7 linked regions of the Canis lupus familiaris genome follow. The protein of the gene in region 2 interacts with the protein of the main gene of each other region in a pairwise test. Links are inferred from orthologs where the notes say so. Each region holds a gene or a part of one and is shown on either strand. Other genes may lie near its edges. The genes, in order: DCX, MID2, KIFC3, FARS2, SYT17, IQCN and MFAP1.

Region 1 (3,500 bases), about 3.1 Mb from region 2:
TGGAACAGAATAGAGAAGCCAGAAGCAGACCCTCAACTTTATGGTCAACTAATATTCGATAAAGGAGGAAAGACTATCCACTGGAAGAAAGACAGCCTCTTCAATAAATGGTGCTGGGAAAATTGGACATCCACATGCAGAAGAATGAAACTAGACCACTCCCTTACACCATACACAAAGATAAACTCAAAATGGATGAAAGATCTAAATGTGAGACAAGATTCCATCAAAATCCTAGAGGAGAACACAGGCAACACCCTTTTTGAACTTGGCCACAGTAACTTCTTGCAACATACATCCACGAAGGCAAAAGAAACAAAAGCAAAAATGAACTATTGGGACTTCATCAAGATAAGAAGCTTTTGCACAGCAAAGGATACAGTCAACAAAACTCAAAGACAACCTACAGAATGGGAGAAGATATTTGCAAATGATGTATCAGATAAAGGACTAGTTTCCAAGATCTATAAAGAACTTCTTAAACTCAACACCAAAGAAACAAACAATCCAATCATGAAATGGGCAAAAGACATGAAGAGAAATCTCACAGAGGAAGACATAGACATGGCCAACATGCACATGAGAAAATGCTCTGCATCACTTGCCATCAGGGAAATACAACTCAAAACCACAATGAGATACCACGTCACACCAGTGAGAATGGGGAAAATTAACAAGGCAGGAAACCACAAATGTTGGAGAGGATGCAGAGCAAAGGGAACCCTCTTACATTGTTGGTGGGAATGTGAACTGGTGCAGCCACTCTGGAAAACTGTGTGGAGGTTCCTCAAAGAGTTAAAAATAGACCTGCCCTACGACCCAGCAATTGCACTTCTGGGGATTTACCCCAAAGATACAGATGCAATGAAACACCGGGACACCTGCACCCCGATGTTTATAGCAGCAATGTCCACAATAGCCAAACTGTGGAAGGAGCCTCGGTGTCCATCGAAAGATGAATGGATAAAGAAGATGTGGTTTATGTATACAATGGAATATTACTCAGCCATTAGAAACGACAAATACCCACCATTTGCTTCAACGTGGATGGAACTGGAGGGTATTATGCTGAGTGAAGTAAGTCAATCGGAGAAGGACAAACATTATATGCTCTCATTCATTTGGGGAATATAAATATTAGTGAAAGGGAATATAAGGGAAGGGAGAAGAAACGTGTAGGAAATATCAGAAAGGGAGACAGAACATAAAGACTCCTAACTCTGGGAAACGAACTAGTGGTGGTGGAAGGGGAGGAGGGCGGGGGGTGGGGGTGAATGGGTGACGGGCACTGAGGGGGGCACTTGATGGGATGAGCACTGGGTGTTATTCTGTATGTTGGCAAATTGAACACCATTAAAAAATAAATTTATTATTTTTAAAAAATAAAGAAAACAAAAGAGCAATCCCAGCATACCGAAATGTAGTATATCTCCACAAAATGTTGGAAACTCATGCTAAGAATGATGGAGGGAAAGTGGAATTAAAAGAGCTATCATTTACTGATATACATGTAAATTACCAGGCAATTTACATATTTTGTCTCATCTAATGATGAATTGTATGCATACATATTTACATCTTATGTTCTAATTTAGAGTGCTTTCATATCCATTATTTCTTTTGATCTTCAGGAGAATCCTGTGAGCATGGGTAGGGCAGGTGTGATCAGCCCCTTTGTATGAAGAAGCAGGAGGCTTTGGATAATTAAGTGATTAGCCCAAGGTCACACAGTAAGTTGCAATATTAAGACTAGAAACCAGGTCTTCTGATTCCCAGTCTTATGCCCTTGATTCATATTTGTCATGCATTACTTCAAGAGGCTGAATGAATTAGGGAAGGGAACTTACGCCCAAAATAAGGAAAATCTTTCTAAAACTCACAGCTTTTCAACAGTGTAATAGGCTGTCTCATAACACTGAAATGGTTGTAGAGTATATCACTGCCATAAGTGGGAGATTAAATGTCATGACTTCTCAGGTCACTGTCAATGCTCCTAAAATTCCTAGGTTCTGTTTTTCTGAGCTGAAAGTTCCAGTGATTAAGACTATTCCTGGGAAGCGCCTGTTTCTTATGTACTTGGTTCTCAGGAAAGAGATACTCTTTGAGAGATGCTTGGGAGTTGTGACTTTTCCCATTGCAAGTAAACTCCATGCTTTGGTACAACCAACACACATCATGTATAACCAATGCCTCCAGGTGACACTCACATCACAAAATGAAGAACAGATAAAAGTCCCAAATTTAGAAAAGTTCCCACATCCATGAGTTTAGGTTTTACCAGAAATTTAAATTCTTGAGGCACACGGTATATGTCAGAAATTATGGGAGGAGGCATAGTTCTGCATTTGAATGCTCATCAGTCACTTCTTTAGAATCTATATAGTTGTTCAAACACCAAAGGTATTTTAAGGAGTAGAAAGTATGGACTGATAATAACTCACAGTTGTCTTTGCTGATGGGGGACCAGAATTCCCTTTAGAGCCAACAGAACCAGCCACTGTTCAAATCCTTTGGAAGTATTTTGTCATACATTTACAGCTCCCTATGCTCAAGAGAATGGTGCATCTGTCTGATGGAGATGCCTGGCTGCATTCTTTCCCAGATATTAATATAGGTGGTACTTAAGTAGCATAACCAATGACATGAAGAACCTGATTTGGAGAGGAACAGATGGCAGCATCTTTCTTGGGCTAATTTTAGGATCTTGAAATAGTCCCTTTCTCACACAAAACCATCAGTGGAACCAAATTCAGACAGCTATGTCACATGGAAAAGAGAGAAAGAGAAAACGTGGTCTAGTGCGAGGCAAAGACAACGAACCAGAGACATTAGTGCTTCCCCTGTATCTGAGTCCTCTCAGAATATGAGGGATTACCTCAACCTCTTTTCACCAGAATGGACACTGAACACCAACATCAGGCCACCTAAGAAAGGAGCCCACAAATCTCACTTCGAGTGACATGCACTGAACAATCAAGGTTGCATCACTTCATAGATGAATTCATATTCACGAGAATGTGTAAAACCTAGGTACTCAGTCCTTTACTTAGCAGATAAGAAAGCTGAGGCTAAGTGACCATTCTCCTTGATAAGACATAAGCAGATTGAATTTCAAAGCCTCAGATTTCTGGTGGATTGTTTTGTCTGCTGAAAAGACCTTTCTTCCCAGTGAGACATAAAATAACAGGTAGGGATGATGAGAGGTAGAGGAAGAGTCCCCCAACTGGAAATGATGCCTCAGGGACAGCATGGGCATCCAGGTATTTAGAATAACTGAAAAGACAGGTACTTTTATTAAAACAACAAAAAAACTACTTACCTGTTTTCCATCCAGAGTGTAGAGTTTTTTGACAACCCCAGTCTCCAGCTTGATGGCTTCAGTGATATCGGTGAGGACTTGCTCAAAAGAGTGAGCCGTCTTCTTGTTCAGCAGCACACGTACGGCCTTCCGAGGCTTCACCCCACTGCGGATGATCGTCACTAGCTTGGGGCGCACAAAG
Region 2 (2,735 bases):
AAGCTGGGAAAGCAAACAGGAACCTGAAAAGCCCAACCCTAAGTAAATGGGACCTTCTACTGAATGTTAGGGGAGCCACTGAGAGATTTTATGAAGGGGGAAATCATTTATTTTGTTTAAAATCTCCCCCAAGGAGAGACCAGAGTAACTCAGAAATGAAAGGCATACATTTAAAGCACCACAACAGTGTATTGGGGCTGGAGCTGGGAGGAGGAGGTTAATATTTGTTGTGCACTTTGCTACATGCCAGGTGTTGTGCTAGGCAGTTTATATGTGCTATCTTTTGAAATCTTTGCAACAGCCTTGTGAGGTAGGTATTATTTTACAGAAGAGGAAACAGAGGCTCAGAGAAGTGAAGTGCTTATATCCTAGGTCACACCGCTCGTAAATGGCATTAGAACTAGGATTGTTTTAGTCCAAAGGCTATGTATAAGCTTTCCACAGCAGTAAGCTATTTCCTAGCACTGCTGGATCTGATTGAAGTTGCTCATTTCCTAATTAGCAGAAATTACATCTGGGCTTTTTAACCAAAAAGCCAACTTTGCTGCTAGAATACGTAAGTTTGAGTCTGCCATCTGAATGGGCATCAGTCCTGCTTTCCATGTTAGGTGAATAAACAATACAAAGCTGTTATTTAGGGGATTTATATAGATACTTTGTCTCTCCTACACAATAGTAAGGCATTTGACAGCAAGGGACTGTGTTTTATCAATACATCAGCAGCAGAGTGGTACCCGGCATCTAGTAGTTTGTTGAACGAACGAACGAACGAACGAATGAATGAATATCCACCAAGGTGGTTGAAAGGAAGAGAGGAGACGTTTTAGCATTGTTTCAAGACTCTAGTCTGTGGCTTGTTACAGCTACCACTTTGTACAAAAGTAGTATTTTCGCATCTCCCAAGACGTAGACTCCTTGAAGCAGACTTATCTGCTGGGAAGGAGAAAACTCTGATTCTGACATCCCCAGTCTCTGCAGTGAAACTGACAAAAGCAGAGACCATAAAACTTGATGCCCTTCAACAATAGTGATGAAGATTGGGATGAAAGTTACATTTGCATTTGCCAGGAAGGGTTGGCTAAAGCAGAGGAATAGTGTAAACAAGGTCTCATAGGAAACAATCCTTTAACCTGTTGAAAACAGACGGTTCTCAGGCATTCTCAAGCACTTCAGAAGTGTTTTATCTGAAAATACAAGTACATTTATATGCAAATGGTTGTTGCATCTAAAACACTCCATTCTTACTGATTAAGTAAATAAAGTTCCTAAAGAACGTCCATTGTGCAACTCTTGTTTTAGCCTAATTCTAGTAACTGTATGTACTTGAGAGTAATAAAACTATTTCTTTGAGACATTCTGTGATGGAATTTTTAACAATTCAGATGAACCTCCTGCATTAGGTAGCCTCAGTGAAACCGTGCTACATATAATGCTTCTACTTGGATCAATTTTCTGCCCAGCATAGCATCTCTTGGGCAATCTTGTCCCTCAAACTCTCTTAAACCAATTTAGAGCTCTTCCCACCATCAATGTCATTATTGCACGTGAATGTCTGTGTGACAGGAGAGAGAATGGGAGGAATGAATGGAGGGAGGAAGGAAATATTGCCTGATCTTGATGTTCCCTTTAGGGGACAAAAATGGATGCTATAATTTAGTTTCCCTTCCACTATATTTCTTACTCAAATGAGCAAATCAAAAAATTTACTATGTATATATAATTATAAAATGAATATATAACATATTATTTATTCATTTTATATATATATATTATATATACACATACATGTTTTTCGCTATAATAAATCCTTGATTGTAGGCTTTTATCAAAAACTACATATAATGTGTGATCCTTCCACACTTCAAATCCTACTTAGCCAAACTAGAAAGGCCAACATGTGCCCATGCACACCCTTCTGGCTGGCTAGCCCCTTGTTCAGAGCATCTTTCTACATTATCTACTTAGAATTATCCTAATTCCTTCCAAAATAATTTATACTCCCAGATTACTGGGAATTGTTAATTCTCCAGTGATAAGAGGGGTATTCCCTAGATTTCCCCTCCAATGGCTTGAACTCAGACTACTCAGACAATTCGTTCTGAGAAACTCAATACCTTAATTCAAATATAGGCTTTAATGCACAAAAATTAAATCTGTAATATCTAGTTATTTTGGATGCTTCAAATGAACTTCATTTTGTATCTTGTATATTGGACACTAACTGAGGTTTAGGAAGGAAGGAAGTGCTGAACTAGAGAGCCAGTGAATTATATGCTCTCTTGAAACTTAATGGCAAGCTTTCATCCCAGAAACATAAGGGGATTCTTGAGGCCTGCAGTTGCATTCCTGCCGCTCAGGGTAATCAATAAAATCTGGGGCAGGCAAGCCAGACAGGATCATGAGGGATTTGTTCCAGATTGTGAATGTTGGACAAACTGGAAGAATGAAGGTCACATCAAAAGTATGAAGATGGAGAGAGTTAGCTGGGTCATAGAACGACAGCATGTTGTTGTCATAATCCAGAAGGACACCCAGACGCTTCAACTGTGGGGGCACATCCACCAACATTTCCTTGTTGTTATGTCTCACTACAAAGTTACTATTGCATCGAGAGAAGACCCATGAGGAGGCATTCTTGCCAATCCATTCGTTCTTGGGAGCAGACTTGTAGGCAATACCAATTGCATACCTGTGAGCCCATGGAAAGGAGAGAGAAATGAACATTTATTAATGAT
Region 3 (3,500 bases), on a different chromosome or scaffold from region 2:
CATGTGCCCGCTCCAGCTCTGACTCGTACATGGCGATCTGACGGCCAAGGCCAGAAGCTCAACGTGGGGCTCAGGAGGGAGTGGGGTGGGTGCCAGAAAGAAGCCCTATGCCTTACCCCACACATGTACAGGAGCAAACAGCATCCACCTCCACATGCACACATACAGTCTCACACACACACACACACACACACACACACACAGGAGAGGCCATCTCACTCCTGGAAAGTTCTGTGAGCTCCATGCAGCTACTTTGTTGCATTAGCCCCAGCACCAGCCTGGGTCCTGACACATAACACATACACAAGCCACAGGCCCCAGCAGAGCATATTATGTCATAATAGTGACCAAGGCCCCTTTCCAAGAGCCTGTGTGCCCGGCCTGCAGGCAAGGACTCTTGGCAACTATTCTGAGTTCCACAGGGAGGTAGCTTCTATGAGCACATCATTTTATGGACGAGGAAACAGAGGCGTAGATAAAACTTGGCGCTGGTCACACAGCCAACAGGGAGAGCAGGGTGGGGGGGCTGGAACCCAGCTCCATGGGCCCCCCAGTACTGAACCGCCGCGCTGTGCTGCAGGCCCACCTCTGGCTTTCCCACCGCGTGTGCATGCTCTCCCACAGCCCCGTGCGTGTGCCCTGGCAGCCTGCGCACCTGCGCCCGGAGCTGCGCCGTCAGCTGGTGAGAGCTCTGCAGCTGCTGCTCCATCTCCTTCAGCACCTGCCTCTGCATGGCCACCTGCTCCTGCAGGTGCTGGTTCCGGGCCTGGGACTCGCTGAGGGCCTGCTTGGTCTTGGATGACTCCACCTCCACGGTCTTGATGACGTACTGTGAGGGGGAGGAGGGATGGGCGCCTGAAGGTGCAGGTGCCTCGACCTCACCCCCGGGGGGGCCCTGAGACGCAGCTGGCCTTGGGAGAGGACCCTCAGGGACATCCCACCAAAAGCCCCCAGAAAAAACTAGAGGAACTTCAAGGTCCTGGCTTTACAGGATGCTGCAGGGCCTCCGGGCATCCTCTCATCTCAGTAAGCCCAAGAGCCTGGCTGTGACCCCAGCCTGGGCACAGAACAGACAGGAAGGGCAAAGACGACAGCAGAATCTTGCCATGTACCACAGGCATGCCTGGCACGTGTGGGCGCCTTGAGCCTCGGCTGCCAGATGCCTACTACATGTCTGGCCCTGGACAGCAAGAGGGGGAAGGGGTAAGACTGGGGTGCAGCCAAGAAAGCAAGGACATTGCACGTGGCCACCAGCGCCAGAGGCTCACCTTGATGGGTGGCGACTGGGCCCGCAGGCTGGCGATGGTCTCGTGGCTGTCTCGCAGGCGCCGGCTCAGCCGCTCCTCTTCCTGTGCCTTCTCGGCCAGGCAGTCCTTGAGCCGCAGCTCGACCTCGGCCAGCCGGTCGGTCTTCTGCTGCACCTCCAGGTTCAGCTCCGACAGCATGCCCTTGTTCTCCGCCACCTCCAGCTGTAGCTGTGACAGCTTGTCCCGGAGCTGGGCACTCTCCTGCAGACAGGTGGTTGGGAGCGGGGTGGGGACAAGTGTGTAACAGATGGGGGGGGGTACCAGCATGCAGGGCTCCCTGCAAGGAGAGGAGCCGGGGTCACCGTTAGGGACCGAGCCCTCTGGGAGCAGGTGGCTCTGTGCTCACCTGGCTGTGTTCGCAGCCCGCGCAGGGGGCCACCGGCTTTGCCCGTAGCTCTTGTAACTCGGCCTCGAAGCGCCGCATCTCCTGCCTCAGCCGCTCATTCTCCACTACCAGGAGATCCCGGTGCTTCTCCAGGTCCGTGCCTCCCTGCACGGAGCCAGAGCACAGGGCATGCATGTGGCAAGGCCAGGCCCCGGGAGCAGAGAGCAGGGAGGCCGAGGGGGCACCAGCGCAGAGGAGAGAGAAGCAGGAGAGGGAGGGGAGACAGCTCAAGGGGGACATAAGGAGAAGACAGAGGAAGGAAGGGGAGCCGGGGGGATGGCCTTACCCGCCCCTCTCATGCTATTTTCCCGAGTGTGAAAGTAACAAGAAAGTCATATTTATACACAGAGTTCACACTCCTGTTTTACATCGGCAGATGAGAATTAACCTCCCTCCCTTTGGGGGTCACACGACCTCTGAAGGCCTAGTGAGTGGTGACAAGTATTTGGGGAGCATCTCTCAGGCCCAATGGCATCTGCTGGGCTGGACTCGAGGGCTCTGGAGGGATGGGGTCCCACACCTCAAATGGAAGGGTCAGTCTGCACAAGGCCAGGCCAGCCCCCCTGCAGCCCCCACCTTAGGATGGCAGTGTGGAGCCTCACCAGCTCTGATCGAAGGCGGCTCACTTCCTGGGCCTGGCTAATGAGCTTCTCCTTCAGGTTTTCCACCTGCCAGCACAAAGCCACAGTCACGGTGAGCCTTGTTCCTCACTTCTGGCCCACGCTCAGGCCTCATTTCTCAGCCCCGCATGCTCCCTCAGTTCAAGCATCAGGGCACACCCAGGACTCTGGGTGAGAGACACCTGCCCTGTCCCAACGGCCTTCAGCACCCTCTCCTACCACAAGACCCAGGTAGTCCCGCTCTCAGCAAAGTCTGGGGAGCAAGCACAGCAGAGGTGACCTCTATACCACTCTGTGCCCACACCAGAGGCAGCTCCCTGGCAGACTCAGGAGGCTGACCTTCAGGACCCCCACCTTGCACAGTCCCTTGCCACAGCCTGTGTCTACATACTTGTAATTTTATATTCCCTTTTCATAAAAGGGCTCCCAAATTGTATAAACTCCAGACACAATGAAACCTGATTGGTCCTTGCCCAGAACCTAGATTTTTCCATTCCAGTGGTGCCTGGCAAGTCTGCCTATAGAGACAGGTCTACCAGCAACCAGGGCATGTCTTGGACCTGTGTCCCCCCACCCCCCAGGTCCCTGTCTGCCTTGCTGGACAGCTGGGACCATCAGAGAAGGGTGTGTGCACCCCATCAGGAAGCAAGGGTGGCTTGGCTCAGCCAGAGCCAGAGGAAGCCACCAGGATGCCAGTTCTGAGAGTGTACATCCCAGGGTAACAACCCTCCCCTAGAGTTGTCCTCCAGCTGGCCACCCTCCCTGCAGACTCCAGACCCCAATTCTGCACCAGCCCCCCTCCAGGAACCTCTTGGGAAATAACCCAAAATGCAACCGAAGACTTTGGCACCAATGTCATCAGTGCATATTTAGGGGTTTTGTCACAGAACATTCTGTGATGACCGTACCTGACTGTACATCACCTTGAGAAAGCCCAGTGAGAGTCAGACTCTCTCTGTGGGGACCTAGGAGGTGGGTTTGACCCAAGCAGGCCACGAAGCATTGGGTCTTATTAGGAAGCAACAGCAACAAAGTCTGCTGCCTGCAGAGGCCAGACCAGTAGGAAGGCAGGTGAGGGGCAGCACAGGACTGGATGCCCAGCGTCCACCCTGAGAAGACAAGCTCAGCGCCCTCCCTGCAGGCCGTGGCTGGGAGCACACAGGCCCATGTCTCCAGACTTCTGTCCTT
Region 4 (3,930 bases), on a different chromosome or scaffold from region 2:
CTTCACAAATAAGTGGGAATCCAACGAAATTAAACTTCAAATACATCTGAAATTTACCCATGTTATCCAAGAAAAATTAAAACACCTCAAACTCCTGAAGCTTCCACTGAAGACTGTCTGTAAAGCAGTGTAGCATCACAGCTAGACAGATCATATCCTGGGCCAATGCCTACCCTCCCCGCTTCCTAGCTGCTTACCTCCAGCTCAGTAATCTAACTTCTCAGCTTCCCTATCTTTAAATGCAATTAACAGCTTTCTTTCCCATCAAGGTTCCAAAGGATTAACTGAGATCCTACAAGGACTCAGCTGGCTTCAGCCCTTTCCGGGTACTTCTCTTGCACTCACCGTCAAGCACTCTCCTACTCCCTCCCTCATAAGGCTTCAGAGTTCTGTAGACCAGGATCATCTTTCCCTAGCCCTCACTCAGACTCTTTCCTTTACCCTTTGTAAGGGTAAACCTACATTCTTCATAACCATCTTACTAATACATCCACATATCCAAATCCCGGAATTCTTTTCAAGATTTAGCTAACCTGAGGATCCCTGGGCGGCTCAGCAGTTGGGCTCCTGCCTTCCGCCCAGGGCATGATCCTGGAGACCTGGGATCAAGTCCCGCACCGGGCTCCCTGCATGGAGCCTGCTTCTCCCTCTGCCTGTGCCTCTCTCTCTCTCTCTCTTTCTCATGAATAAATAAATAAAATATTTAGAAAAAAAAAAGATTTAGCTAACCTAAATTCTCTCAAGCAACATGAATACCACCTCCTCCAAAAGGCCCCCTAATTCCTACAGATCAATGCTTCTCTACCAGACTGCAACCAATCACCTGGGGAATTTTTTTAAAAATCCCTGAAACTTAGTCAAAATCACATTGACTGTCCATCTGAGGGGTGGCCCAGGCCCCAACCATGAAAGTGACCTCTCACGCTGAGACCCCCATAGCACTTCCCCAGTACTCCACCTGAAGCACTCTGTACTTTTAAGATTTTATGTATTTATTCATGAGAGACATGGGGGTGGGGGAGACACAGACACAGGCAGAGGGAGAAGCAGGCTCCCCGCAGGGAGTCCAATGCTGGACTCGATCCCAGGACCCCGGGGTCATGCCCTGGACGCTCAACCGCTGAGCAACCCAGGGGTCCCCAGCTTTCTCTATGTGTAACTTGGACGAATGGTGTCCTTTTCCCAGGTGCCGCCTTTTACGTCATTAGCACTCACATAGCACGGAAAGAAAAAAAAAAAGCTCTAGATCTTACTCCGTAAAAACGTGCAATTCCTTTCTTGAACGTTTAAGCAATGCCCAGGACAAACTCAAACTATTAAAATCTCTTCGAATAATCCTGAGGGAAGACTCGCCCAATGACGTGATCAACCTGCAAGAGCGACAGAAGTTTGGGTATCCTATTTAAAAAAAAAAAAAAAAAGCCTTATTTTGATGTTCATAGAAATGAGAGGCCTTAAAAAAAAATCAAATAGGAGGTTTAAAAAGATTTTAATGAAAGTATGTTTGGGGGAAGCCTGGGTGGCTCAGCAGTTGAGCACCTCCCTTCGGCCCAGGGCGTGACCCCGGGTGTCCTGGGATGGAGTCCCACGTGGGGCTCCCTGCAGGGAGCCTGCTTTTCCCTGTGTGTGTCTCTTGTGAATAAATAAATAAAATCTTTAAAAAAAAAAAAAAAAGTATGTTTGGGGCACCTGGGTGGCTCAGTGGTTGAACATCTGCCTTCGGCCCAGGTTGTGACCCCAGGGTCCCGGGATCGAGTCCCACATCGGGCTCCCTGCGAGGAGCCTGCTTCTCCCTCTGCATGGGTCTCTGCCTCTCTCTCTCTGTGTCTCTCATGAATAAATAAATAAAATCTTTAAAAAAAAAAAGTATGTTTGGGGGACACCTGGGTGGCTCAGCAGTTGAGCGCCTCCCTTGGGCCCAGGTCATGACCCCGGGGTCCCGGGATCCAGTCCCGCATTGGGCTCCCTGCATGGAGCCTGCTTCTCCCTCTCGAGTGTGTCTCTCATGAATAAAATAAATAAAATCTTTAAAATGATAATGATAAAAAAAAAGTATGTTCTCTTCCATGCCTTTTATATTTTTTCTTTTCAAACGCCATTGCATCCCAAGGAGTAACATTACCAAGTGCCATCTGGGTGCACGCAGGGACACCAGGTTGCAAGTACGCTGACGGGCGCTTCCTGCCCCTTAAAGTCCCGGAAAATACCAAGTTCTTGGTGAAATGCAAAAGCCACGTTAACAATCATCCGGTCGGCGGGGCAGCCCGGGGGGCTCAGCGGTTAGCGCCGCCTGCAGCCCAGGGCGTGACCCCAGGGTCCCGGGATCCAGTCCCGCGTCGGGCTCCCTGCGTGGAGCCTGCTTCTCCCTCTGCCTGCGCCTCTGTGTCTCTCATGAATAAATAAGTGAATCTTTAAAAAAAAAATCATCAGGTCGGCTAAATGCACGGAAGCGGCCCCGGCGCCCCAGGTCTCCGCGGGCGCAGCAGCCCGGCCCCGGCCCCGAAGGACCCAGGACCCTGCAAAGCTCGAGAGCTCAGAGCACAGGCGGGGAAGGGGAGCCCCGAGCCAGCGCCCCCGACCGCGGCCGCGACCAGGCCAGCACTCGCCCACCGCCCGCAGGAGACCCAGGCACCCCCAGGCACCCCCAGGCACCCCGCGCTGCGCGCTGCTCACCCCCCCGGGAGGCTCCAAGCCGCCGCCGCACTCGCAGCCTCAGCGAGACCCCCGCAGCTCGCTGGGCGCCGCCATCTTGGCAAGAGAGGGGTCCTTGCTCTCAAGCCCCCAAGCCGGTCGCCCCGAGCGGAGCCGTACAGCAGGGAGTCCCTCGCCCCCACCGCCTCGGCGGCCCCCGCGTCGCGACCCCGCACCCCGGAAGCGCCCTTGCGCTGGGGACCCACAGACACAGCGCGGGAAAGTCAAGGCGCCCCGGAAGCCCGGCTCGGGCCCTCAGGCAGCGCGGAGGGCAGCCCCAGCGCGAGGGGGCGGGTCCTCCGCGGCCGGGGGCGGGGCGTCGAGCGGCGGCGCGCTCGGTAACCATGGCAACGCGGCGGCGGGCAGCTCTCGGGCGGCGGGCTCTGGGCGCTCGAGGCGTCCTCGGGCTCGGCCCCGTCCCGGCGGCTTCCCCTCTGCCCGCCTCGGCCCGCGGGGGGGGGGAGGGGGGAGCGGCCGCGCCCGGGGCCCGCCTCCCGGCCGGCGCCTCCCCCTCGGGCTGCCCCGAGCCCGCCTGCGCCCGCCTGCGCCTGCCTGCCGAGCTCCCGGCCCGCTGGCCGCCCCGGCCCGGCTCCGCCGCGCGGTTCACGCGTCCGCGGCTTTGCCGAGCGGGTTGGGTGACGTCGGGGCCTTCCCGAAGACGCCCCGCTTCGCGGGTTTGTTTGTTTGTTTCCCCCTTTCCAAAATGGCAGCCTCCAGCCGCGCACAAGTGTTAGATCTGTACCGGGCGATGCTGAGAGAGAGCAAGCATTTCAGCGCCTACAACTACAGGTGACGCGGCGGGCGGCGGGCGGCGGGCGGCGGGGCCGGGGGCGGCTTGTGTCTGTCCCGCGGCGGCGGCTTCGGGCCCGGGTGCGGAGCCTCCGCCGCCCACCTGCCTCCCAGGCCGGCCAGCGCGGTCCCGGCGCCTCGGGGGGAGCGAGGGGCGGAGAGGACACGTGCAGGGGAGCAGGGGGGCCTCGGACACCTGGGGGCGGGGGGGAACCTCTGATACCTGGGGCGGAGCAGGGGGGCCTCGGATACCTGGGGACGGGGGGCAGGGGGGCCTCGGACACCTGGGGGCGGGGGGCAGGGGGGCCTCGGATACCTGGGGGGGAGCAGGGGGGCCTCGGACACCTGGGGGGGAGCAGGGGGGCCTCGGACACCTGGGGGCGGGGGGCAGGGGGGCCTCGGACACCTGGGGGCGGGGGGGAACCTCTGATACCTGGGGCGGAGCAGGGG
Region 5 (3,500 bases), on a different chromosome or scaffold from region 2:
TTGACCTTATATAAAGATTTTTATCACCAGAAAAATTAAATAAATAAGGCAGTAGAAAACTTTTGGAGATAATGGATATGTTGATAGCACAGAGTGTGGTGGTGGTTTCATGGATACATACTTACCTCCAAACTCATGCACAGCCTTTTGTATGCCATTTGTGCCTCAGTTAAATAGTTTTTTTTCTTCAGTTAAATAGTTTAAAAAAAAAAATTCCATGAGCTCACTGCTAGAATAGAGGAATGAGCAAAGATTCAAATGGTGGACTTGGGAGCCATGAACTCTGCTGGTTGATGGAGAAGGGTGAGGTGCCCCACAAGTGGTGAAGTTCAAATATGATCGTTGACAAAGTATAATAGTTACCATTTAGTGACCTCTTACCATGTGCACGTTCTATGCCGAGCCCTTTCCATGCATTGGCTCTGTGAATCACCACAGTCTTTGAAGTAGGGGCTATTACTGACTCCATTTTACAGATAGGGAAACTGAGTCCCAGAAATTCTGGCCTCAGGGTCCACTCTCTGAAAATGGAGGCAGTATAGGGTAATGGTTAGCATCAAGACTTTGGAGCCAGACAGGCTGGGCTTGACTCCTGGTTCTTCCTCTCACTACTTGGGTCACTTTTGGAGAATTATTTAAGGTTTCTGTTTCCTCATCTGTCAAATAGGGATAGTCGTTATCTAAAACCTTGTGAAGATGACTTGATATGTCAATGCATTTAGAACAGTGCCTGGCTGTGACAGAGGTGATAATGCCACCAAGCTACCTCTCATAGAATAAATAAGAGGCTCTCAGGGTGTGGAGAGCAGATGGCACAGAGCATCATGAAACAGAGTGAACAATGTGAGAATCTGAGAAATGGTGCTAATTTCACAAAGTGGCCCAGGTTCGGTCCCATACATGGCGGTCTTAATTATTATTTCTGGTGACTGTTTAGGTCTCGAATCCAGACGACCCAGCTCCCCACTTATTGATATTAAACCCATCGAGTTTGGCGTTCTCAGTGCCAAAAAGGAGCCCATCCAGCCCTCGGTGCTCAGACGGACCTATACCCCAGACGACTACTTCAGAAAGTTCGAGCCCCAGCTGTACTCCCTTGACTCCAACAGCGACGATGTGGACTTCCTAACAGACGAGGAGATCTTGTCCAAGTACCAGCTGGGCATGCTGCACTTCAGCACCCAATATGACCTGCTGCACAACCACCTGACGGTACGGGTGATCGAGGCCAGGGACCTGCCACCGCCCATCTCCCATGACGGATCGCGCCAGGACATGGCTCACTCGAACCCCTATGTCAAGATCTGTCTCCTGCCAGACCAGAAGAACTCTAAGCAGACGGGGGTCAAACGCAAGACCCAGAAGCCTGTGTTTGAGGAGCGTTACACCTTCGAGATCCCCTTCCTCGAAGCTCAGAGGAGGACCCTGCTGCTAACTGTGGTGGATTTTGATAAGTTTTCCCGCCATTGTGTCATTGGGAAGGTGTCCGTGCCTTTGTGCGAGGTTGACCTGGTGAAAGGCGGGCATTGGTGGAAGGCGCTGGTCCCCAGCTCTCAGGTAAGGGGTGGTTTGGTGGTGTCTCCTGCTGGGATCTTTGCAAAAAAAAAAGATGATTATTTTTATTTTATTATTGAAATCGTCTTTGTATTTTAACAACTTTTCATTTTGAAATAATTTTCTACTTCCAAGAAGTTGCTGATGTAATATAGAGTGGTTGTGTTCTCTTCATCTAGCAACCCCAGTGAGAAATCTTACACAAGCAGAGTGCCTTAGCAATACCAGCAAATTGGCGTTGGCAATGGAGCTTCGGACCTTATAGAATTTTCACAGATTTTTACATGCACCATTGTGTGTGTGCGTGCGTGTGTGTGTGTGTGTGTGTGTGTGTTTGTAGTTCTAGGACATTTTGTCACATGTATAGATTCGTGTAACCACCACCACCCTGGGAGCTTTTTTGTCATTGATGCCGGGTTATTTAATAAGGAGAATGATTGTCCAGGGTATGAAGCTATCAGTTATTTTGACTTTCAGAAATTGATTTGGGAAAAATAAAATGAGGGCTGCAGAACAGGATGATATATGGATGTTTTTCAGGCAAATTGTGAGATTGGCTTCTTTCCCCCTACCAGCCCACAGACTTGCAATTGGCTGCTTGGGAAGCCACCCACGGACCAGGCTCTGTCCCCAGTGGGCTGATAGAGTCCCTCCCTTGGGCATTCTGTGGATGACAATGCACGAACTGTGCAGAGAAGGACGAGGTAGGAGCCCAAGGGAAGGAAAAGACCCAGCCAGCTGGAGGCCAGTCTAGTCCATTCAGGCTGACGGTGACAATCCTGTGTAATGCAGGCGGGATTATTTTATGTCAAACATGCCAAGGTGCTTTTCAAAGCTGAACTCTACTGGTCAGGGATTTGATGATCCAGCATCACACCTGGAGTATTAGGTTTTAAACATGGGGACTGGAGGGGTTGCTTGTGTTGTGTGTGTGTGTGTGTGTGTGTTTCCATTCAAAGATAGATTTATCCTTCTCTTCATTTGGATCCCCCTAGGAAGAAGAGAATCCTGAGCCAAGGGAAGTCATTTATTAGGGAGGTGACAGCAGAGGAAACACCAGGATGAGGGTGGGAAATTGACATAAAGTATGCATTATCCAGCTGGCCACCACTTTGGGGAGATCAGGCCCTAAACCTGCTGGGGAAATGGGAAGCCAGGATTAGACACATGTCTAGAGTCTTTTCACCTGAGTGATGGGGGAGTTGGGGTGTGCATATACCAACTCCTATCAGCCACTGAATGAAGGCTGTTGGCAGGGGTATGGAGACGTTCCTTCCCTGGCATTTCTGGCCTGTTAATACTGGTTGATAAAGAGACCTTTGACATCCACAGATGCAAAAAAAAGTGCAAGAGCTGGCAGCTACATGCAGACCTGTGTACACTGAAGTGATCAGGACCAGGAGGTGATGGTCAAAGTGTTAGCTGTGTTTGCTATAATCCCGTATCCTCCTTCCCATCACATGATCAGAATAGATTGGGCGCTTTCCATGTAGCCTCTTCAATATTTGATATCACTGGGTTTTCGACCATCAAGAGGGTTGAAAGAGGGAGACCCACCGGACAAGATCGACTCTGTATCGCCAGCTTGACTGCGCACATCAGAGAATTTGGACATCAACACACCTTGCCTCCTTTAGGTATTGGCTGAAATGTCACAACTTCAGCGAAGATTTTTCTGGCACATCTGCTGTAGTTTGATTCTCCTGAAATCTGAGGCCAAAGGCCAGGACCTGGGTGCAGGTAGATTCTTTAGGAGGCTATCCCGGGGAACAGGAATGAGGGGTAAGGAGGACACAGGGAAGGAGGGAACATCAGTAGTGGTTTTTCAGGTTGCCATTCTGGCCCTAGCATGCTCGTCAGGTGGGCCCCCACACCCTCACGGAAAGACTGGGAAGGAGAAAGAAAGGCCAGGACCAAGCCCGAGCAGAACTTCGGGACCGTCTGTA
Region 6 (4,108 bases), on a different chromosome or scaffold from region 2:
TGTGGCTTTGGCAGGACCCTGCTGAGCTGAGGCCAAGGTGTGTGTCAGCCCCAGCCTGGCCAGCAGTGATTCAGCCCAGGCATCAGCCCAGCCCCAGGAGGTGGATGGGGACGGTGGCCTCACTTTCGCCTTTAGGACTGTGGCTCAGAGTCAATACCCACTTTTGCCAGGCCCATATGGGGATCCCAAGGGACCTTGGGCCCAGCTCTGTTCTAAGGATGGCCCATCCTCAGAGCCAGACACAGATACCCACCTGGCCTTTTAGGATGTGAACCAGAGTATAAGAGCTGTGCCTCCTTTGCTCTAGACCCTCTCGAGGCTCCCCGGAGCCTTCCTGATAAAACCCAAACTCTCATACTCCTGAGTTCCTCCCAATTCAGTATTCCACCTCCTGGCCCTCTTCTCCTGCCTCCAACCACCTCAGCCCCCGTGTTCCCTAATCATGCCCATCCTGTTCCCACCTTGGGCCATGTGGTGCCCTTCCCCCAGCTCTCCTAAGATTACTCCTTCGCCTCCTGCGCCTCCTGCAGGACTCAGCCCATCCACCCCCTCTTTGATTCCTTCCTAGCAGTTTCACACCCCCAAATTATTTGAGCCGTGTCGCTAGGCAAAGTTAGGTGTTCCTCAGAGGCACCTGGAGGGCTCACTTGGTGGAGCATGTGACTGGATCTCGGGGTTGTTGGGTGTAGAGATTACTTAAAATATATTTTTTAAAGATTTTATTTATTCATGAGAGAGAGAGAGGGAGGAGACGGAGGCAGAGGCAGAGGCAGAGGGGGAGAGGCAGGCTCTCTGTGGAGCAGGGAGCCTGATGGGGAACTTGATCCAGGACCCTGGGATAATGACCTGAGCTGAAAGCAGACGCTGAATCGACTGAGCCACCCAGGCGCCCTTAAAAATAAAATCTTAAAAACAAAAACAAAAAGTTAGGTGTTCAACAAATGCCCAAGGTATGTGAGACTGAGTTTGCCTTGAGACATGTAGGGGAAGAATTTGAGGCCCCCTCTGCTCAGAGCCCTAGTTTTCTATTCAGGACAGGCAGGCAGTATGTAGCAACCACCAAGACCCTTAGTCTGATCTAGGTCTTGCCCCCAACACTGGGTCTGCCTTCTATTTTTTTTTTTTTAAGATTTTATTTATTTATCCATGAGAGACACAGAGAGAGGCAGACACATAGGCAGAGGGAGAAGCAGGCTCCCTGCAGGGAGACTGATGGGGGACTAAATCCCAGGACCCCAGGATCATGACCTGAGCCGAAGGCAGACGCTCAACCACTGAGCCACCCAGGCATCCCTGGGTCGGCCTTCTAGAACTCTCTTCCCCCAGGAGCTGGTGGGGATTGGCTGGAACTTGGCCGTGAGTCACAAAGCCATTGTGGCACCAGGGCCCCAAGGCTGGCCATTCGGGCTGGTGGGTTCAGCTTCAGGGGCAGGTGAGTGGGGCTGGTGGAGGGTTTGGTGGGGGGTACACGGAGGCTGGGTTGTTCTCCCCTGCCCCCCAGCATCCTCAGAGTCCCCTTGGGCCCTCCAGGCCACTTTAAAAAGTGGGTCAGCTTCTCAGCCCCTCAAAACAGGGGCACTTGGGACCCCCGTAAAAACTGATGGTGGGTTTGTCTGCCTGAGGTCCTAGCCTGGAGAGCCTACCATGTTTCCCTGGGAGGCTGGGAAAGTGGTTTTAGCTTGTATAAGGAAACTGAGACTCAGAGGGGTTTACTCAAAATCGCCAAGCCAGCCATTCGGCTTACATGTCTGGGGGCCCCTAATCCTTTTTCCTGTCCCCTGTAATCACATTCCTCTCACTTTGTTGTCTATTTGTTCACTCATTCTGGTTGAGTTCACTGAGAGGACTAAACCATGTGGCTGGTGAAACCGCAGACTCTAGGATAGGTCAGTTCAGATCCTAAAGCTGTTCTCCCTAAATTCTTCAGAACTTAGCTTGAGTGGTTCTCATCCATCTGTCCATCCATCCATCTATCCATCCATCCATCCTCTTTCAACCATCCATCTATCCATCTATCCATCCATGTATCTATCCATAAACATATTGAGCACCTCTTGTGTACACTGTTCTAGGCATTGGGGATTCAACAGCAAATAAAAGAGACAGACATCCCTACCCATGGGCAGCTCATAGTTCAATGGGGGAGGCAAATCAGAAATAAAGTAAAGAAGTATGAAATATAGTATGTTGGCTTCCCTGGGCCTCAGGCTCCTCCTCTGTGAAGTGGAGACGATGACTGTGCCCGCCTCCTGGAGAACCAGTCTCAGGCCCATTACACTGATGCTTGTTCTGAATGGGCCCAGCCCATTTGCGGCTGGGATGAAGACTGGGAAGGGGCAGGACACTCAGGCCATCAAATAAGTGAAGCTAGAATGTTCACCATGAAAGGAGGCAGCACAGGGGTCTTTTAAAACAAATCTATTTTGATCATCTTTGTCTTGAAGTTTTTAATCTCTTATCATGTCAATTACTAATATGGTTGAATTTAAGTCTTCTGTTAATGGGCATTTTTAGATGGTTTCTGGTTTGGGGTGAGTATGAACACTTGTACCTCTTAAATGTAAATGTTAGGGTGGAATTGACAAGTTACCTTCAAGACTGACAGTTTCCCCAGTTGGTCATGATGTGTCCACCCTTTCAATTTTAGCCATTTTTGTGGATCTGGACACCATTTCTAATGGCCGGATAGCATACAACTGTATGAATGTCCTGTTTAATTTAAGCCACCTCCTAAGTTATTTTTAGTTTTTACTCTTCATAAATAATACAGTGATGAACATCCTTGAACACTCTCCTTTATGCACTTGTAACTGACTCCCTAGCAATCACCTTGTTGGTTATTTCTAGTTGATCCGCTTTTACGTATAAAAGAACACTAGTGTAAAATTCCTTTTGCATTCATTTTTGTGGACTTAAAAGTTTTTGGCTTTTTTTTGAAATGTTAGGGTTTTTTATTTTTGTTTTTCTTTTAATATGTCTCCTCACATTGGGCTTGAAAACAGAGCCAGCCCAGGGCAGTGTTGCTGTACGTTGCATGGGATGAAAGGCTGAATGAAGGCTGCTTCCTCTTACAAGCTGGCTTCTGAGATTGCACCTTCTCCTCCTGTTCCTCCTCCAACTCTATGGCCTTCCAAGGTATGAAGATGGCTGGGAAAGGGGAATCGGCTGTTTCAGCCAAAAGTTGGGGGTGGGTTTCTGCCCAACAAACATGTTATGCTTCAGGTGACATATCAAGGATGCTTGGCAGTATCCACCCCAATTCCCTCTGAGCCAAGGTGCTTTTGGAAGCCATAGTGATCCCCTCATTCTTCTACCCACCCATCTGCCAGTGATCTACCCATTACCTGTTAATCATTCACCATCCATGCACTGATCCATCCAGCCATTCATCAGTTCACCTCTTATTCATTGATCTCTTCACCAATTCCTTCAGCTCTCTCCATCCACACACTCATTTATCTACTCAGGTCTCGTCCATCCTCTACTCACTGGTCTGTCCATCCATCCATTCCACCCTTCTTTCCCCTCCTGCTTATTCATCCATCCACTCATTCATCCATTTACCCACTCATCCATCCATCCATCCATCCATCCATCCATCCATCCATCCATCCACCTACCCATCTGTCCATCCATCCATGTGTCCATTTCCTTATTTATTGATCTATTCATCAATTCATTCGTCTACTTCATTTACCTATTTATTCTTCCACACAACCCTTTATCCATCTTTCTAACCCATCCACCATTCATTTATCCAGATATATCCATTCAGTATCTATCTACCCAAATTCCAATCCCCTCCATCATTCATTTATGAATATAGCCACCCACCCAACACTCACCTGTCCACAGTCTGGAACCCAGGCCCTTTGACTGAGATGAGGACACAGAAATGACTCAGACCTGGTTCCTACCCTCTATGAATTCACAGTAAACAGGGAGAGGCAAATAACACACACACACACACACACACACACACACACACACACAGAGGAAATTTCCCAAATAGTGCGATCAGAGCTATATTCACAGTATGTTCCAGATATAAAGGAAGTTCAAAAAGCAAGAAGGTGATTGGGCTTTCAGCTGAGAATGTGCATTGTTG
Region 7 (3,500 bases), on a different chromosome or scaffold from region 2:
CAGGTGCTCTAAGACTAAGGAAATGTGGGTAATGCTCTTTCACTTTTGTGACATTGGTGTTATACTTGAAGATGCTGTTTTTCAGATTGGCTCGACATCGGAAAATAGTAGAACCTGAAGTGGTAGGTGAAAGTGACTCAGAAGTAGAAGGAGATGCATGGCGCATGGAACGAGAGGATAGCAGTGAAGAAGAAGAGGAAGAAATTGATGATGAGGTATAAAAAGGGAAAATGAGAAGTTCTTTCTGGGTCCGAGAAAAATTGGGGCCTGTTCTCCTTTGTTGAGTTTCCAAAGGCACAAATTTGATACTTTGGCAGAACCCTGATCCAGTGGTTCCCCGTTTGTTGGAGATAGAATTAAAAATAAAATGATGCTAAGTTGTATTTAGTTATAACAGAATTTATTAAATGTGCTGAGGGGAAAATAAAAAGCTGCCTTAGAGCACAGGTCATTGGGCTGACTGACTTGGACATATGACTTGACAGGAAATAGAGAGGCGCCGTGGCATGATGCGTCAGCGAGCACAGGAGAGAAAAAATGAAGAGATGGAAGTCATGGAGGTGGAAGATGAGGGACGTTCTGGGGAGGAGTCAGAATCAGAATCTGAGTATGAAGAGTACACAGACAGTGAAGATGAGATGGAGCCTCGCCTAAAACCTGTCTTCATTCGAAAGTAAGTATGTCATAAACCAGGCCTGATTCCACATAGTTACTACTTTCCATGTCTGAAGATGGAAGCCTTTTTTTCCTCTCTCAGGCTTTTCTGAAATGTCAGCTGTAAGTGAAAGTCTTCTGCCCAGTTCCCTATCTATGCAGAATATTTGCTGAGGAATATCTTGGTATTAACAGAGAACCTGAGTTACGTGCTCATAACTCCCTTTTTAAAGAGCATATAATCTCCCCACAGTCCTGTAAGGCACAAAATTAAACTTGAAAAGTGAATTCCTGGTCCTTTTCTAATGGCAAGAAATCTTACAATTTATAATCCAGAAGGTTCTTGCTATTCAGGCAGTTATCAAAGATGAATGGAATTTTAATGCTTTAAATACCTAGGATGACTCCCAACTTTGGCTGTTTGCAAATAATAGAGCCAGCGATTATTGGGCTTTGTCTCATTTGGATGGGACTTAAGCTAGAGACAAAGAGGTCCACTCTGAGGACTTTGGGCAATTAACAGGACTTCTCTGTTGCAGGAAGGACCGAGTAACAGTTCAAGAACGGGAGGCTGAAGCATTAAAACAGAAGGAGCTGGAGCAGGAAGCAAAACGCATGGCTGAGGAGAGGCGCAAGTACACACTCAAGGTACTGGGGAGTGGCTGTAAGGATTGCATGCAAGGAGGAGTATACTTAGGTTTGTCAGGAAAATAAGGAGATCCAACAGTTAAATGTTCTCTTTACCCAGATTGTAGAAGAGGAGACCAAAAAAGAGCTGGAGGAGAACAAGCGGTCCTTGGCTGCACTGGATGCTCTCAATACTGATGATGAAAATGATGAGGAAGAATATGAGGCATGGAAAGTTCGGGAGCTAAAGAGAATCAAGAGAGACCGAGAAGATCGAGAAGCGTAAGTAATAAGATGGGCCTGTAGTTTAATATCAATAATGGGACAGGTTACTACTAGGGTAACTCTGAGGCTCAATACCTACCATGAGTTAGTTCCATTCTAGCTTTCTTTAGGGTTCCTGCAACTGAGTGAGTTTCTCATAATTGTAATGTGGCTTATTCTAATAAAATTAGTGAAAAGAAACACTCTGTCAGTGTTTCTCTTGATAGAGTGCCAGTGAATACTTCCTGTAGTTTCCTAGTAGGCACACACAAGTTATTCACTGTTATTAATTATCCAATCTTGCATAAAAACCCAACCCAAAATTTGGTGACTTGAAACTGTTGATTATTCCTCACAGTTTTGGAGTTCGCTAAGCAGTTCCTCTGCTGGTTTCACCTGGGCTCTCTTAATGCACTTGGATCCAGCTGGAGAATTAACTGGGCTAGAGTGTCCAAAACGGTTTCATTCACATGTCCAATAGTTAATGCTAACCTGCCTCACTTCTTCAGTGGGCTAGATCGGCTTCCTTATAAAACAGCCTCATGGCAGTATTCGAAGAGGACAAAAGTGGAAACTGCCAAGGTCTTTTGAGGCTTATATGTCATTTCTGCAAAGGGGCATGCATATTGTGAGGGGAAGAATTTGTGGCCTTTAAATACTCTACCACAGTCAGTATTGTTAGATCAGAATCATTTCTGAGCTGCATCACTCATTCTTAAAAATTACTAGGAATGAGAGGGTAATCCCAGATTACAAAAGGAAACCATGAATAGAAAACTCTGTCCTCAGCCTGCAGTTTCTAAGATTTTTATCCTGGGTTTCAAGGAGTGCATGTACCCTTTAAAATCATATACAAAGTTATGTCTATTTGTATTTTTCTGGAGACAAGGGATATATGGCTCCCCTCCCCCCAAAAAGGGTTAGTCACTGCAATCTAATTAATGATGGTAACCCTTGGTTTGTCATGTATGTACATACACAATTACTTAAAAAAATGCCAATTAAATCTTAACACAGTTATGTTAAATTCTGGGTTTTTTTAAAGCCAAGTAGGCTTTTTAGGGAAGGGAAATTACTAACATTGCAAAGTCAAGTAGTAATATTATGTCCGAACCTTATAAAGACTATTGGAAGTTTACAATAAGACCATTTCACCTTTTTATTTGTTGGGCTCCTAATCTTAACTCCTAATAGGCAATGACTAGAATTAAGGAAGGTGAATAATGCTTGAAAGATGAGACTGCATTAAGTTCAGATAATTGAGTCTCTCTGAAACTGGAATAATACTAATAGTTTTGTTCTCCACACAGGCTTGAGAAGGAGAAGGCAGAAATTGAACGAATGCGAAACCTGACTGAGGAAGAGAGGCGAGCTGAGCTTCGGGCAAATGGCAAAGTCATTACCAACAAAGCTGTTAAGGGCAAATATAAGTTCTTACAGAAGTATTATCACCGGGGTGCCTTCTTCATGGTAAGGAGTCAAAAGGGAATGGGAAGTTTGGGCTATAGAAATAATTTGGAACTTTTGAGTTCTTTTCTCCCCCCAAGAATAAACTGTCCTGGGATGTTACTTCTACTTGCCAATGGTCAGTGTTCTCATTTATTTTTGCCTCTAAAGAATATAAATCCAATAGAAAAAAGCATTGACAACACGATTTTAGAAGTAGCAGCCACTGTTCTCCATTCAGGCCCAGATATCAGGAGGAAATGGTGTGTAATAGAAGAATTGAGGAACTAAAATAGTGATCTATGTATATAGATATAGACTACTTAAATCCCCAAAATTAATTAGATAATCACTATTCATAGCTGAGTGAGGAATTTTGCTTATGCAAATATTTGGGAGGTTGAAATTTAATTCCCTTCAATCTGAGCTGACAAAGTGACTAACCAAAAAAAAAAAAAGAAAAGAAAAAGTTTATTATCTAGCCAGTATGTGTAATACCATCAAGATTT

The links.
Region 1: the proteins of MID2 (region 2) and DCX interact in binary tests that used the Homo sapiens proteins (3 or more experiments, as listed by UniProt). The two-hybrid records come from large-scale screens. The link is inferred for Canis lupus familiaris from reciprocal best matches to the Homo sapiens genes MID2 and DCX.
Region 3: the proteins of MID2 (region 2) and KIFC3 interact in binary tests that used the Homo sapiens proteins (3 or more experiments, as listed by UniProt). The two-hybrid records come from large-scale screens. The link is inferred for Canis lupus familiaris from reciprocal best matches to the Homo sapiens genes MID2 and KIFC3.
Region 4: the proteins of MID2 (region 2) and FARS2 interact in binary tests that used the Homo sapiens proteins (3 or more experiments, as listed by UniProt). The two-hybrid records come from large-scale screens. The link is inferred for Canis lupus familiaris from reciprocal best matches to the Homo sapiens genes MID2 and FARS2.
Region 5: the proteins of MID2 (region 2) and SYT17 interact in binary tests that used the Homo sapiens proteins (3 or more experiments, as listed by UniProt). The two-hybrid records come from large-scale screens. The link is inferred for Canis lupus familiaris from reciprocal best matches to the Homo sapiens genes MID2 and SYT17.
Region 6: the proteins of MID2 (region 2) and IQCN interact in binary tests that used the Homo sapiens proteins (3 or more experiments, as listed by UniProt). The two-hybrid records come from large-scale screens. The link is inferred for Canis lupus familiaris from reciprocal best matches to the Homo sapiens genes MID2 and IQCN.
Region 7: the proteins of MID2 (region 2) and MFAP1 interact in binary tests that used the Homo sapiens proteins (3 or more experiments, as listed by UniProt). The two-hybrid records come from large-scale screens. The link is inferred for Canis lupus familiaris from reciprocal best matches to the Homo sapiens genes MID2 and MFAP1.

What each region holds. Positions count from the first base shown.
Region 1 is NC_049260.1:85,154,160-85,157,659, forward strand, and holds part of DCX (neuronal migration protein doublecortin), read right to left. Parts: coding exon 3,320-3,500; intron 1-3,319. UniProt on the Homo sapiens protein: Microtubule-associated protein required for initial steps of neuronal dispersion and cortex lamination during cerebral cortex development. May act by competing with the putative neuronal protein kinase DCLK1 in binding to a target protein.
Region 2 is NC_049260.1:82,076,228-82,078,962, reverse strand, and holds part of MID2 (probable E3 ubiquitin-protein ligase MID2), read right to left. Parts: intron 2,690-2,735; coding exon 2,287-2,689; 3' UTR 1-2,286. UniProt on the Homo sapiens protein: E3 ubiquitin ligase that plays a role in microtubule stabilization. Mediates the 'Lys-48'-linked polyubiquitination of LRRK2 to drive its localization to microtubules and its proteasomal degradation in neurons.
Region 3 is NC_049223.1:57,991,420-57,994,919, reverse strand, and holds part of KIFC3 (kinesin-like protein KIFC3), read right to left. Parts: exon of another isoform or gene 3,233-3,500; coding exon of another isoform or gene 3,221-3,232; intron 2,361-3,220; coding exon 2,295-2,360; intron 1,798-2,294; coding exon 1,654-1,797; intron 1,509-1,653; coding exon 1,269-1,508; intron 830-1,268; coding exon 656-829; intron 38-655; coding exon 1-37. UniProt on the Homo sapiens protein: Minus-end microtubule-dependent motor protein. Involved in apically targeted transport. Required for zonula adherens maintenance.
Region 4 is NC_049256.1:6,682,059-6,685,988, reverse strand, and holds the start of FARS2 (phenylalanine--tRNA ligase, mitochondrial), read right to left. Parts: upstream 2,801-3,930; 5' UTR 2,674-2,800; intron 2,340-2,673; exon of another isoform or gene 2,123-2,339; intron 1-2,122. UniProt on the Homo sapiens protein: Is responsible for the charging of tRNA(Phe) with phenylalanine in mitochondrial translation.
Region 5 is NC_049227.1:26,253,006-26,256,505, forward strand, and holds part of SYT17 (synaptotagmin-17), read left to right. Parts: intron 1-937; coding exon 938-1,557; intron 1,558-3,500. UniProt on the Homo sapiens protein: Plays a role in dendrite formation by melanocytes.
Region 6 is NC_049241.1:45,151,459-45,155,566, forward strand, and holds the start of IQCN (IQ domain-containing protein N), read left to right. Parts: upstream 1-1,308; 5' UTR 1,309-1,432; intron 1,433-3,002; 5' UTR 3,003-3,051; coding exon 3,052-3,135; intron 3,136-4,108. UniProt on the Homo sapiens protein: Essential for spermiogenesis and fertilization. May be required for manchette assembly in elongating spermatids.
Region 7 is NC_049251.1:10,836,831-10,840,330, reverse strand, and holds part of MFAP1 (microfibrillar-associated protein 1), read left to right. Parts: intron 1-85; coding exon 86-215; intron 216-485; coding exon 486-673; intron 674-1,193; coding exon 1,194-1,302; intron 1,303-1,402; coding exon 1,403-1,563; intron 1,564-2,855; coding exon 2,856-3,015; intron 3,016-3,500. UniProt on the Homo sapiens protein: Involved in pre-mRNA splicing as a component of the spliceosome.